2 linked regions of the Lepisosteus oculatus genome follow. The protein of the gene in region 2 purifies or fractionates together with the protein of the main gene of each other region. This does not show direct contact. Links are inferred from orthologs where the notes say so. Each region holds a gene or a part of one and is shown on either strand. Other genes may lie near its edges.

What was found. Proteins that work in one complex are often made in the same cells at the same time.
Region 1: the proteins of camlg (region 2) and tumor necrosis factor receptor superfamily member 13B purify together in Homo sapiens (affinity purification with western blotting; 3 studies listed by BioGRID and IntAct, with this or other methods). This does not show direct contact. The link is inferred for Lepisosteus oculatus from reciprocal best matches to the Homo sapiens genes CAMLG and TNFRSF13B.

What each region holds. Positions count from the first base shown.
Region 1 is NC_090714.1:4,625,691-4,629,444, reverse strand, and holds the start of tumor necrosis factor receptor superfamily member 13B, read left to right. Parts: upstream 1-1,234; 5' UTR 1,235-1,302; intron 1,303-3,459; 5' UTR 3,460-3,471; coding exon 3,472-3,583; intron 3,584-3,754. UniProt on the Homo sapiens protein: Receptor for TNFSF13/APRIL and TNFSF13B/TALL1/BAFF/BLYS that binds both ligands with similar high affinity. Mediates calcineurin-dependent activation of NF-AT, as well as activation of NF-kappa-B and AP-1.
Region 2 is NC_090706.1:23,728,652-23,732,405, reverse strand, and holds the start of camlg (guided entry of tail-anchored proteins factor CAMLG), read left to right. Parts: upstream 1-1,625; 5' UTR 1,626-1,725; coding exon 1,726-1,888; intron 1,889-3,177; coding exon 3,178-3,632; intron 3,633-3,754. UniProt on the Homo sapiens protein: Required for the post-translational delivery of tail-anchored (TA) proteins to the endoplasmic reticulum.

The sequences.
Region 1 (3,754 bases), on a different chromosome or scaffold from region 2:
GATATTTAGTACATATCAAACCATTGAATGATCCAAATTGTTTGAGCTATACTACTTAAAACAATGGAATTCATTTCACGCTCATCGACTTTAAAGTAAATCAGATAGAGCTGGTTTTGCAACTTACTTCATATCCCTTGATTCCCTTGATTTCCTCTTGCAAATGTCTACAGGGTTCATGAAGTAACGTTTCTACAAACCATTTTAATATGGGAACATTTATGTCCCATTAAAGCTGTTTCTGTAATTAGTCATCGTTAGCCTTTGGAGTACAAAAAACAGCCGAGGGAAAAAAAAAAGAACAATTGTGTTTTTTGAGAATAACAGATTCTTGGATTAAGCAAAGTCCTCTGCATGCCTGAATTGACATGTAACAAGTGACCTTTTAAAGCCCGTGCAACCTCATTTTGACTGATTTCATCTGTAGTCAAACGCAAAAGAAAGCAGTGCTATAAAACACTCAGCCGTCTCTGTTTATAATTAATTCATGGGGAGTGGTACTATAAATGAGAATGAATGGAATGTGCATGAAAAAGGCCGTCTTTTCGGGAAAAAGGGCCGATGTTAAAAGTGTATAAATGAGCAAAACATGGATCTTTAATCCTGATCCTGGAGGCACAGTGCCTCTCTGCCGAAAGCACCAACACCTGAATCTGGGAGAAGCTGTTAAATTGGTCCATTTAAGCTGATTAAGGGCTGAATTAGAACAACAACAACAACAACACAAACACACACTGACCCTCTAGGACCAGGATTGGTGACCAGTGGCATATGATTTTTAGGTATCATGGTCCTAACCCAAAGTTAATTACAAATTAGTGTCTTGTATTTTAAAATGTGATTAAAACACTTCAACAAAGAACATATTAGGTGATGATTTCCACTTAAATCCTTTATTGGGAATTTGTCATTGATTTTTGTTTAAACAATTTTGATCATACTGTATTTCACATTTTCTCAGGACAGCTGTTTGAGCTACAGATGGTCTAAACATCCTCTGAGCTAACCAAGACAAATTAGTCCTCAACCTGTATGAAAAACCTTATAGCCGACTCTTGAAATCATTCATTCCGCTGTATGGTATTACAAACATTAGATAGAGACAGATGTTGCAATACTGTGGGCTTTCCTGGGGCAGCAGAGAAGAAACCTGTATACTGCTTAATTAGTGAGGGGGAAACCCCAGGAAATGGTTTAATACAACCATACCCAAATCTCTCTGGTACTCATAGTCTGCTGCTGTACAAGAAACTATATAGTGACTGCATTCCGCTGAAGTTTGCTCTCAGTATATTACCGAAGGTAAGTAACTCAATAGTTCTAGGGTTTTACATATCTAGATACCATACTTACTATCATGTTTGAATCAATTCTTCATTGTTTTGAAAGTGTTGTACCCAAGAGTGCTGAACCTCTTGGTCAAGAACTTTATTTTCCATTGCAGTTTTTTTTGTGTACAGAGCTGAAATGTTCAGGACTGTGTTGCTGAGTGGCAAAGCTATCTCATGGATTATGAAATGTCTTTAAACAGTGAAGGCAACAAGATATTGCACAGATGCTAACCATTAACATGTTGTATAAGAATCTTAAATACTAATTCGTTTCTCCTTTTCATATTGACTTCCAGAATATGTGAGCTATTATAACATAGACTGTTTTTTTTTACATGACATCTGTGTGGAGCTGTTCCGTGTTTTCACGTGTCGAAAATAATTAATGGAAGATTCTAGAAACAGCTGTTTAGGAGAGACTTTGGAATACCAAAATAAATGTTTTAAGCGTAACTCTCATTGACAGAGCTACTGAAAAACAGTGAGGATTTTGCTTGATTTTCACATGCTTTGATTCAGAATCAACTAAAGGAAAAGACTCAAATAGATAAGGTTCCACACGCCTTTTCAGGATTTTAACAAGATCAAAAAAGCATTGTTAAAATTCTCAGTAGGTAATATATAGTATAAGACATCTTTGGACCTGAAAAATAGAAACCTGGTGCTAAAAGATTTATGGCAATCTTTTATAGCAATCCATCCTTCACAAACACTGACACATATATGTAACTGCTGTTTTTTTAAATTGGTTGAAACACTAATATGAGCATATTATGATATGTAATATAACGTAGATACAATAAAAACATGAAAATGTAACTGGAAAATAGGTTTACACGTTGTATCCAAGGTAAAAATCATTCAGTACATTTTGGGCTGTAGCTTTTAAAAAGGAAATTTGTAAAAATCAGTAAAACTGTACATTTCTGTCTTTAATCCACTGTATTTCCATCTTCTCCATCCTTTTTTTAAGAACTTTCTAAGACTATTCTAAAGTAAATTCAGTTTTGACTTCTAAATGTGATAGTAATGAAAAAAAATAGAAATTGCAGCTCATTTCTTTAATGAATCTTACAAGATATATTATTGCAAAATAAGCAAATTTGCTTAACATGTGATCTAAATTACACTTAATAAAATCATAAATAACATTTACTATTTTATTTAGTTTATATACAGTATACCATGTATTGGTACATTTATGCAACTGTATAAAAGAAATATTATTCCAGGATTCAAGGGCAAATTTAAAAGGTGGCTTTCAATAAGAAACTAATTTAGCGCTGAAGCCCAGAGTTCAGTTCTTAGGGTGCTGTCCGTGTGGAGTTTGTATGTTCTTTCTGTGTTCATGTGGGTTTTCACCAGTTGCTCCAGTTTCCACCCACAGTCCAAAGACATAGGACATAGGGCGGTAGCTCTGTGGCTAAGGATCTGCGCCTGTGGCTGAAAGGTTGCTGGTTCATGCTGGTCCCGGGGCCGGCAGAGGGATCCTACTCCGTTGGGCCCCTGAGCAAGGCTCTTAACCCCAACTGCTCCAGGGGCGCCATATAAATGGCTGACCCTGCGCTCTGACCCCAAGCTTCTCTCTCCCTGCCTCTGTGTCTCATGGAGAGCAAGCTGGGGTATGTGAAAAGAAATTCCTAATACAAGAAATTGTATATGGCCAATAAAGTGATCTCATACTGGCAGACTAATTGGCTCTGGGAAAAATGGCCCTGGTGTGAGTGTGTTGTGTCTGTATGTCCTGCTATAAACTGAAATGTGTAATCATGGACTTTAAAACTTGTATACCCTACTCAGAAAATGAATTTGTCTCAGAATAAAAGGTAAGCATTGGAAGACTATCTTTTGCATAACGTATTATGCGTTAGTCCTACGCGAGTTTTAAAACGCGCTTCAAAAGATCTCAATTACAGTTACTCATAGATCAAATCTGTCTCAAAGTAACTGTCTCTTGCGCACATGCTAGACAGAAACATGGTATTGTATTCTGATTGATCAAGGCCGTGATACTAGGCTAGGAATCCAAACATCCAAACGTAGTTCCCATATGCGGCACGAGCCTTTTTAATCAGCATGATAAGTTAACTAGAATGACTAATGAATATTTGTTGATGTTGTTTTCCAGAGACCAGGCAATATGAGACGCTGCCCTGACAGAGAGTACTGGGACAGGCTTGTCCGAAAATGTATGCCTTGCAAGAACATGTGTCGGGGTCAGCCCCAGCCCGAGAAATGTGTCCCTATCTGTGGTTAGTGTTGTCCCTGTCTCTGGGAGATCTTCCTGTCTACTATGAGTGCAAGATAGCCTTTAAAACACAAAAGCTTCTGAAATACGGACGCAGAGGCTTAAATAATTCAAGCATGTGCTCAGAGTGTTCTACACTGGAAATGGCTTACTAAAGTTCCATGAAAAACTGAAG
Region 2 (3,754 bases):
TACTAAACGGGATTTTTTCGTCCCTATCCCTAACATATTCCTTCATTACATCCCTCTTTCACCATCTTACGTTGTGAAATGCAATCAAAACCTCTCACATTTATCAAGATATCATGTCACCTAGCATATTTTCTGATGGAAAGAGAGATGATGTACTGCTCATGTACTGCTCATTCACACAAACACATGCACACATGTTTGTGTGTGACAAACACACACAAACTATTTCAATGTGACAGTGTTCTTTTGGGTATTTCTAGTATTGTTCGTTCTATTCTACTCTTTTCTAGGCAACTAAAACTAAACCTGCAATTGGCCAGTTCACAAGAGAGTCCACACCTCAGGGTGTACAGGCTAAGGTATGTGTAAAGCCATTTGCAGTTCTAATGCTTTATAATTGAGTAGAAGGTACACACGTGTACTTCAACCAAGCATACACAGATAGCTCAATTGTTTCCTCACACTTGTTCTCCAAATGTTGTCTTTCTCTATAAAATGTACAGCTCATCGCATTGAGGGATCGCTGTTCCTGTGCAACTGCAGCAAAATACACAAATGATCTGATGCATTCTTGTACACTACAGCATACATGGCATCTCACTATTTCCTGGGCTCTTCATCTAACAGCGAAATAAGGCCACCCCTGTCCCGAGAGGAAGTTGAAGCTATAATTCGTGAGTGTAGATGGCTTAGGTTATATTCTGAAATAATCTTTTAGTATATTTTGTTCAGGTAAATAATATTTTTCTGTTCTCTTTTTCTTGTTAGCTGAAGTAAAGACTGTGTTCCCTGAGAAGACCCATGCAGAAATCAGAGCCTTTATGAGACAGAAGCTATCTAATGCAGCAAATATTCTAAAACGTCAGTGTGGTGTGGGCCAGGAGAACCAGCATCATGAACATGAGCCAGTCTACCTTTAAATGACCAGCTCCCTTTAACTTCAGCTGTGAATTTATTATTTAAATGTTCTTGTTGTTATTGTTGTATTTGAACTGTTATGATCATATTCTCTATTGATGTAAATATTAATACATTTGGACTTAACTGGTTAATGAATTTTGTACATTTGCCTGTACATTTCATGTTGGCTTTCTATTTTCTCTGCAGTCTTCTTCAGGATTAATAAAGTAGACCTATATATCTATTTATCTGTCAATCATATTTTAATAACTAGTGTTATGTACCATGGTACCCCTACAAGTACCATACGTCTGTCAAAACATCATAGGATAAAACGTACCACATACTCAAGGTACCTTAAGAGTACCATGGTATACAGTATAAGTACAACGGTACTTCTACCATGGTACATGTACTATGGTACTGTCAAAAACACCAAGGTACCGTACCATAGTACTGGTACCATAAATGTACCATGGTACAATTTCTTATGTATAGTTTTACAGATAGGAAAGCCTTCCAAACCTATTAATATGAATATGAGGGTATTACCTTTAAATTTTGATTTAAGTAAAGGAAGTTTTAATTAAGTTTATAATTAAACAGATGAAAACACATTTCTCTTTATCTCTTTTATTTCTCTTTATCGTTTCCCGTTTTCTCTTATTTCCCGTTTTGCGCGCTGCAGAGCGATCAGTTATTAAGTGTGACATCATCAAAGTGCGTCCGTTTGAGGAGCGCCTTGCCCATTGTATTAGTGGTAGATACGTCGAGGTGTCATTTTGTTACACTGACAGTATAAAACGTATTTTAACATTTACGATAATGGAGTCTGCAGATCAAAACATGCAAAAGGCTTCTGAAGAAATAAACAATATGTCTGCATCGAAAAGAAGAGCAGAAATTAGGAGGAGAAAACTGCTGATGAATTCAGAAGACAGAATGAACAGGATCATGGGGTTTAATAAGAGCGACGTAGACGCCAACGGTGAGGCGCTTATTAAAAATACTGAAAACGGGAATGAAAAGGTTCATACAATTGTAATCAAACTATTCATCTGAAAGATTAAAGGACATTAAAGATTACCGATATCAGTAAAAAGACGGATACATTTCCTGTAAATAAATCACACTAGCTACATACCATTACAGCGCAGTTTATCACCACCCTTAACGAATACTTTTGCAAATTCTTTTGTCTTTAATTTAAACCAATCTAAATTAGATGAACACGAATTATATAGGTACTGTATATTTTAATCGTATGCGTTTTGTAACTTTTTTTCTCGTTTGACTTTGATTTAACTGCTTAATATTGGGAAGTATTGTTCTTTGAAAGGTAGATGAGATAATTCATGTGGGGTTTTATAAACTAAAAGCATTAAAGCTATTTTATGTTATTATTTTAAGAATTCGAATAAATCGAGTTTAAAGGAGTGGCACAAGGAGGACACCTGCTACGCCTATCACTGGGCTTGTATATTCTGGTCAGTTGTCTGGAATTGCTGTCACAAAGTTATTAATGCTGAAAGAAGAGGCTATCGGAGAGATTGCATATTTCATGTCTTATTTCTCTATTCAGGTTAAACATATTTTGACATATGTATGCTTGTAATGATCTGTTATAGTGTTAACATTCTGAAAAAAATATGCTGTAGTTGCAAAATAATAATGTCCATGTCTTTTATGAATGATTATGCATTTCCTAAGGCTTTTTGTTTGGCATGAAATCCCTTTTTTTTCAATTTAGGCTTTCTTGGAGATCCAAGTATTTTCATTTTTTTGTTCCAGCTGGGCCCTTAATTACTGTAGCTGATTTGAACCTATAAATGAGACAAACCTTTATTAAGGGACCAGGACCATGAACACGCTTTTGTGATAAAAACAGTATATCAGGTTTCAGTCATATCAGTATGAGTCAGTATGAATCTAATGGGTTATACTCCATCTAACACACATGAACGCGTTAGTACAGGGTTTGTATTAGTATCAAATTTTATTCCCCTTTTGAAAAACTGAAACAGCATTTTAAAAATGGAACTCAGAAAATACATTAGTCTGTAACTAAGAACTGAACTGTTGTGAAAACCAGAAAAGGCATGGGTTTTACAGAAAAGACACTGAGAACTACTAAGGTAGGTGAACCAGTACTGGTTCAGCAATTAAAATGGGAGTAATTAACCCTGTAAATTGGTTTGTCAACTTCTACAATTTATCATCCCATTCTGAAAGAATCCAATTTGTGGTTTGATAATTTTATTCCTTATCTTCTACAAGATGACAGACATACGTTGGAGCCCAGAGTTCCCTTGGATCATGGCAGAGCAGAGCCGCGGTCTCTGTCCGCCCAATCCAAGAGACTTCCAGTCTTCCAGAGTGAGATGGGGGTGAGCAATCACCACGGCGACGTGCCTGAGCGTCAGGGGTCTCCCCTGCGGGAGTGCAGGGACCCCGCGGGCCGCAGCGGCGAGGGCGAAAGCGCTGGGGAGGTGCGGCAGAGATCCCGGGCAGACGTCCCCTCCGACGGCATCCCCCGCTCCCCCCGCCGCGGGCTGCAGCAGTACCTGTCGCGCTTCGATGAGGCCATGAAGCTCCGCAGCCAGCTGATCAGCGAGAAGCCGGCTCAGGAAAACGGCTCGGGCCCAGAGGAGCTAGATGCCTTCCGAGTCTTCCGCCTCATCGGGAGCGTGATGTTAGCCATCACTGTCAGGGTCTTTGTCTGCAAGTATTTGGTATGTCTGTGTCGCAGATCTTTGATTTGTTTGATTTAATCACTTTCCCTCTCCAGCTGGTAAAGATCTGGTTGCAGGAAAGCTAACAAGCTTCACTTTGGTTTGGGGCTTGATCTGTTTTT